Linked DNA regions of Tribolium castaneum. The protein of the gene in region 2 interacts with the protein of the main gene of each other region in a pairwise test. Links are inferred from orthologs where the notes say so. Each region holds a gene or a part of one and is shown on either strand. Other genes may lie near its edges. The genes, in order: trafficking protein particle complex subunit 13 and proteasome subunit alpha type-7-1.

Region 1 (4,103 bases), on a different chromosome or scaffold from region 2:
TACAATTTGCGGACCGAAATCGGTCATTTTGTGAGTTACTTCCAAAAACACAAAAACCGGGAAAATTTCTGGATCATCAAACCGTACAATTTGGCCCGAAGTCTGGACATCCACATCACCGATAATCTCAACTACATCATGCGGCTCCCGGCAACGGGGCCCAAAATCGCTCAGAAGTACATCAGTAACCCGGTCCTGTTCGAACGGCCTGAATGCGGCCCTGTTAAGTTCGACATTCGTTACGTGATTCTGCTCAAAAGTGTGAAACCGCTGAAAGCGTACGTTTACAGGGAGTTTTTCGTACGTTTTGCGAACAAATCGTTCGAACTGAAGGACTTTCACGACTTTGAAAAACACTTCACTGTGATGAACTACGACGAAAACGTCCAGCTTAAGCACATGTTGTGTTCCGAATTTCGCATTTTTTGGGAGCAACAATATCCGAATTTTGATTGGGACAGTGTGCAAAAATTAATTTTGGGGGTTCTTAGGAACGTGTTAGAGGGGGCTGTTAAGGACGAGCCCCCTTGTGGGGTGGCCCACAGTCCGCAATCGCGGGCTTTGTACGCCGCTGATTTGATGCTGGAATGGGGGGAGTCCCGGGACATCCAGCCCAAATTGCTGGAAATTAACTGGACTCCAGACTGCCAACGGGCATGTCAGTATTATCCCGGCTTTTATAACGATATTTTCAAGCTGCTGTTTTTGGATGAAACGTCCGATGCGTTTATCGAATTGTAAAGTCTATTTTTGTTAAAGAAACAATTTATTTTAAATAAACTTATTAAATACTTTTTCCAACATTATCATTAACTATCACAAAGACTTGACCTAGATCGTCGTAGTTGTAAGTTCTTTTGAGGAACGTGTCGACTAATTTGATCCCGGAAAGGGTTCGCAGGCCCGGAATAAGGGGGATTGCTTTAAATTCTAAAACTCGGGTGGAGTGTGGTGGCAACACTTCTAACTTACGGCCAGAAATGCCACACCAAGCCAAGCCATCTGAGTTATCCAAATACATCATTAACTCAACACTTCTTTCGCTAAAATGCCAAAAACAATTTTAAAATCATAGCTCACGTTGCTGACAAATTAATGAAAGCACTTTATATTTACCAATTATTAACCAGCCGGCATTTGAACGCAAACAACTCTTCCAAGACTACGAAATTAGGTAATTCGGTAATCGATAATCTTATATCACCATAATCAGGTCCCTGAAAAAATTCGTTAGTGCAGTTTTTCACGCCAGTCAATTTGGAAAACGTTTAAGCACTTACGAACACAAAACAGCAAAACAATTATTCAAAGAATATTTTCAATAGCATTTGCTTAACTTTGCCTAAAGTATTTGAAGAATTTTCAATCTGAATTTTAAATAAATCATTACATTTAAATTATGTGGCAAGTTTTGAAAAAAACTTACCATTCTTTGAAGCTGACTTGTCTGCAACCTGCCCCTTTCGCCCAAATTCGACCTCCACACTATATCCAACTTGCCAATGTTTGTGGCCCCACTTAAACTCTTCAAATCGGAAGACAATTTTTCATTGGGTGATAGGCAGTACAAAAATTGGCAAACAGCTTGAGGGTTTAAAAGGGTTGTTTTGCCAAAAATGCTCTCACCTGTTGGTGTCACATTCAAGGACGTAACTGCAAAAATAACAAATGTGCTCTTAAATAAGTTGGCAACGTAATTTCACAAACATAGGTTGCTTATCACAATTAAAAAATGAACCTTTAAAGAGGTGGGACGCGTCCAAGGCCACCTTTTCCAAACATATGGGGCCTGTGGTGATGTTCTGCACCTGGGCCTCCAAATAAACATCGTCGTTTTCCGCATTGTAGAACTTCGTTTTGACGTCAAGCGGCTTAAGTACTTGAATTTTGAAAAATTTCCTGAACGATTTAAGAATTCCTACTGCGTTCTGATAAGACACTTCACACACCAAACTACAATTCAACCACTCGTAGTGAAAGATTGCACAAATAAATGCGACTTTACATGTGATTTCCAATTTCTTTGACCTCATGATGGATAACAATATTAACAGTGTCATCAGGGGTCAGTTGAGGGGTTGGAGGATTCGAGGATAAAGGCAATCGCTGAGAAGTGGTCTGCAAGTCCACTTTAACACTAACATTACTAACAATGTGTTGAGTCTCATTGTACACACAAATGTAGCTAGAAAACGTTTCGCCTAAATAAATATTAACTGGACTTTGAGGTAGCAGCAAAAATTGGCCTATAGACAACGTTTCGGTGCCTTTAACCGACGCAGCGTCCTGCTGAAGGGCAACATTTAGCAAATTACCGGGCAAGTCCTTGCTGTCGCAAGTCACTGGCAGAGGAGTGGCCAGAGTGGGGCGCGTAAGACGCATAACTAAAACCGCAGATATTAACCAAAAATTTGGTAACTCTCATTTGCACCTTTCAAAGCCAGTAAGTGCTCCTCTGGCTCCATTTTTAGCAAAATTAGGGGAGGTTATTTGTTTGGTTAAACGTCAGTCTGACAAGTTGGTGTGAACGGTCTACGGTCATAGAATAAGGTCTACGGTGGTTCGGACCTAATTTTTTGAATTAATTTGTTTGCCTTAGAAATTCGTATTTTCGTAAAATATGGTACAATTTTACAAATTTGCCGTGTGAGGCCAAACTTTTGGTCATTCCCATTTGGTCATAGTTAATGAGAGTAGACCAAAGGGAGTGAGTAGTTAAAGCGCCCAATGGGAGTGTGACATTTCAAAAGTTGGGTTAGTGATAAAATTATAAATTAAACCAAACGAGACTTTTCTAAATGACTTGTGCACAATGGGCAAACACTGGTGCTATTTCTTGTTCATGCTATGGTTCTCGTACTTGATAGTCTCGTCAATTTTGCTCTTTTCGCGCGGATTCCTCCTCTCCAAAAATGCCCAAACAACCAACTCCACTTGCCTCTCCCTGTCCGAGATCCCGTGCATTCACAAGGAATCGACGACTTTAAGTGCCCACGAACAGCAATGCAGTGCCGACACCAAACTATCCTATGTTTTTCAAAACATAAACAGCGCTTCGGATATTTGCTTGCCCCAAAGAGCGCGCGTTGTCTTCGTGATAATCGACGCTCTGCGGTACGACTTTGCACTCTATGACGAGAATTTAAAAAACCCTCTGCCGTTCCAAAACAAGCTGCCGGTTATAAACGAGTTGCTGAAGCAACAACCGGACAATTCGCGGCTGTATAAGTTCATAGCGGACCCCCCGACCACCACAATGCAAAGACTGAAAGCTCTAACGACGGGAAGTCTTCCAACTTTTATCGACGCCGGCTCCAATTTTGCCACGAATGAAATCAACGAGGATAATATCATTGACCAAGTTTGTAACTATTTTCAATAATTGTTTAAAATCACAGGAGAGTTTCAGTTGTTGAGGCACAACTTGAGCACGGTCTTGATCGGCGACGACACTTGGGACGGCCTCTACCCTAACAGATTTCTCAGGAAATACCCCTATCCCTCTTTCGATGTCTGGGATTTGGACACAGTTGACGACGGAGTCAATTTCCACCTTTACCCCGAATTGGCAAAAAATGATTGGAGTTTTCTGATCGCACATTACTTGGGGGTGGACCACTGTGGCCATCGCTACGGCCCCAACCATTCGGAGATGGAGCGCAAATTGACAGAAATGAACACCGTGATTGCGTAAGTTTGTACCACAAAAAATGATCACAAAAGAAATATTTTACCTAGTTTTTACTTTTCCTAACTCGCTTTTTTTTGCATTTATTCACCCAACTTTTGTTTCCAGGAGCATTGTGGAGCGACTAGACCCCAGCACAATGCTGTTCGTGATCGGCGACCACGGAATGACCGAAACCGGCAACCACGGGGGCGACGCCGACGACGAAGTCACCTCAGCCCTCTTCGTGTACTCCCACACCCAACTCTCCTCCCTCCACGCCTCCGCCACCGTCCGCCAAGTCAGCCTTGTCCCAACCCTTGCCTCAATTTTCGGCGTTTCGATCCCGTTCTCAAACCTCGGAACGGTAATCCTGGACGCCCTTCCGCTCCTCAACAACTCACAAGTGCCCGAATGGCAATGGTCCCTCTTCCAC
Region 2 (2,909 bases):
ACAGATCACATCGTTTTGATATAGCACCTGCGTACCATGTTGCCATAATATAATATATTACTGGACATTTTTGATAATTTTTCAGCTCACTAGAACGTCTTATGTTGTAGAGTTATGTATATAGGGGTCACGAGGACGACTGATTTCGTGTGCATGTTTCGAGAGACAGTGCCAATTATTATAACTTATAAATGTAATAAAACTTGAATGCTGTGTAATAATTATGATATTATGTGTTTGCACTTGTGTATTGTTTCAATATGTATACTTAATATTCTTATGACATCGCACCATATAAACAACACGACGCGATTCGGTTTCTCTCATCAACATTTCATTTTTTCATTCGTTTTAGATGGAATTTGAGTGCATTCTAGTGATTCTTGTTTTATGAGTTCTTTGTCATAAGGAATTCGTAGAGAGATTTATGTACCTTTTTTGTACAAGATTATTTAACATTTATTTAAAAATAAACTTCTAGAGATTGACCGGCTTTATTTCATCTTGACTATAATTTCTGATTCAAAAATAATCTCCTCCTGAACATGAACACTTTAATAGTGTATTGTGTTTGAAGAACTTTAGATTTTATTAATTACGATTCACCTTGTCATTCAAATAATCACCTGCGTCATGGCTTTGGTTGGTTAAATAAACTCAATTTAGCGAAAAAAATTTATTGAAAAAGTTTATGAACCACAATAAGTAATTAAAAAAGTCTATTTCTTCTGTTTTTTCTTCTCCGCCTCTTCCTCTTTCTCCTTCTCAATTTCCGTTACGTACTTTTCAATCGTGTCACTATCCAGCATCACCAAAGGCTCCCCATGTCTCATAACCGCAATTTCCAAATTCTTCTGTCCCGACTGCACCACCTCCAGCAGCGCCCTAATGGCCAACTTGACCGTGCCTCTCTCCTCCGCCACCTCTTCAGGGGTGTAGTACTTCTCCAAAAACTCCCTCACGGTCTTGGCGCTTCGCCCCGTGGCGTTCGCCTTCCACTCGTAGTAAATCCCGGACGGCTCCGTCTGATACAAATGGGGCTTCCCGTCGTAGTCAAACCCGCCGATCAGACACGAGATCCCAAACGGCCTCCGCCCGTTACTCTGCGTGTATTTCTGCTTCAAACCCGCGATATACCTGGTGATGTACTCCAGCGTGACGGGGTCCTCCACCGTCAATTTGTGCGACTGGCACTCGATCTGCGCCCGGTTTATCAGAATGCGAGCGTCGGCGGTCAAGCCGGCGAAAGCCATGACGACGTGGTCGTCCAAAAGGCAGATTTTGCGAACGGTTCGCTCTTCTTGGAGCTTGGCGACGGACTTTTTCTCCACACCGAGGACCACGGCCTTCGCCCCGCGGACGCCCACCTGGGAACGCAAACGCTGGGTCATGGGGGTTGAGGTTAGGGGCACTTACCGCAGTTGAGCCTTTACGGACGGCCTCTTGCGCGTACTCCACTTGGAGGAGGTGGCCGTCGGGGGAAAATACAGTGATAGCACGGTCGTACCTCGCAGACATCGCTTTTAAATAACTTTCAAACGACTAACCTTAAATAATATTTTGCTTTGTAACTGCGAGAAAATTGACGTTTGACGGCCCGGCACGAAAATTACAGTCGCCCAGTCCGTTACTAGCCTGGGATGTGCAAATGATCGGGAAAATTGCATATTATTGTCTTTATTAATTAACTAATTAACTGATGCTAGTAAATAAATGAGTTTGGTAAATTAATAATCGCAAATAAAGGTTTCAAAGCGTGGGCACCGACTCGAAAAACACAGTCGTCTATGAATTACCCAAACCGGGAAATTCAAATTCTAAAACTCTTTATCCCAGTCTACGGCCACATCGGGGGGCACGTCCTCGTCGGCCCCAAACTTCTCGAAGTAGTGCACGTCAATGTTCGTCCTTAAATTGGGTCTGAAAGGGGCGGGCATTTTGCCCCCTTCAAACCGCCCCCAGTCGAAGCCCCCAAACCACTCGTGCCCTTTCACGTCCAAAATGCCGCCGCTCCCACAGCCCAGTCTTTGGGGCGGCGTCGACTTGCACAACTCTTTGACCAACTTAACAGCTTCGACCGACACGTGTTTCGGAAACTCGACATCATCTATCCCCTTCAGAATCAACTTGTAGGTCTTCATGTACGTGACATCGTCGGTCCGGAAGGGGGTTTTACCCGTCAAAAGCTCAAAAACGAACACTCCAAGGGCCCAGTAATCCACAGCCTTGTCGTGGCCTTGATTGAGCATGATTTCGGGCGGGACGTATTCGGGGGTTCCCGCAAACGTGTAGGTTTTTTTGACGCATTTTTTAATCATTTTTAATTTTTTGGCGAAGCCGAAGTCGGTCAATTTCACGTAACCTTTGGCATCGATGAGCAAATTTTCGGGTTTGAGGTCGCGGTAAATAATCAGACGTTCGTGGAGGTAATTAAAGGCCTCCACCACGCACGCGGTGTAAAACTTGGCGTGGTTTTCGTCCAAAAAGCGGGGTTTTTGCTTGTAGAGGTGCGTCCACAAGTCGCCCCCCAGACACGGCTCTAGCAAAAAATAGAGGAATTTTTTGTCCCGATAAGTGCGGTACAGGCGCACGATAAAATTGTTTTTGCAAACGATTTGAATGTTCTTCTCGTTGAAAACGAGCTCTTGGTGTTTCTGGGCCGCAATTACGTATTTCTTCATACATTTAAGGGCGAAAACGAGTTCTTTTTTGCCCGAGTGTTGCACTAACTCAACTCGGCCAAAACCCCCGATCCCTAACGTGCTAATAACGTGAAAATCGGACAAATTCAGGTCCGTGTGTTCGATTATCTCCTCCATGGGCTTGTAAGGCTGCGTCTGGACGTTGATGCTGAAACAATCAGGGATGTTCCCGAAGTGGGCGATAAACTCGCGCCGGGCCAAAATCAG

The links.
Region 1: the proteins of proteasome subunit alpha type-7-1 (region 2) and trafficking protein particle complex subunit 13 interact in a two-hybrid assay, tested with the Caenorhabditis elegans proteins (3 studies listed by BioGRID). The link is inferred for Tribolium castaneum from reciprocal best matches to the Caenorhabditis elegans genes pas-4 and C56C10.7.

The regions. Positions count from the first base shown.
Region 1 is NC_087396.1:20,515,747-20,519,849, forward strand, and holds trafficking protein particle complex subunit 13, read right to left. Parts: upstream 2,592-4,103; 5' UTR 2,466-2,591; coding exon 2,432-2,465; intron 2,385-2,431; coding exon 2,006-2,384; intron 1,954-2,005; coding exon 1,739-1,953; intron 1,654-1,738; coding exon 1,427-1,653; intron 1,218-1,426; coding exon 1,117-1,217; intron 1,044-1,116; coding exon 785-1,043; 3' UTR 748-784; downstream 1-747. Other genes in the region: TTLL12 (tubulin--tyrosine ligase-like protein 12), read left to right, coding at 1-741; PIG-O (GPI ethanolamine phosphate transferase 3), read left to right, coding at 2,813-3,361, 3,410-3,690, 3,797-4,103.
Region 2 is NC_087398.1:3,892,516-3,895,424, forward strand, and holds proteasome subunit alpha type-7-1, read right to left. Parts: upstream 1,613-2,909; 5' UTR 1,519-1,612; coding exon 1,417-1,518; intron 1,368-1,416; coding exon 720-1,367; 3' UTR 662-719; downstream 1-661. Other genes in the region: cGMP-dependent protein kinase, isozyme 1, read right to left, coding at 1,818-2,909. UniProt on the Caenorhabditis elegans protein: The proteasome is a multicatalytic proteinase complex which is characterized by its ability to cleave peptides with Arg, Phe, Tyr, Leu, and Glu adjacent to the leaving group at neutral or slightly basic pH.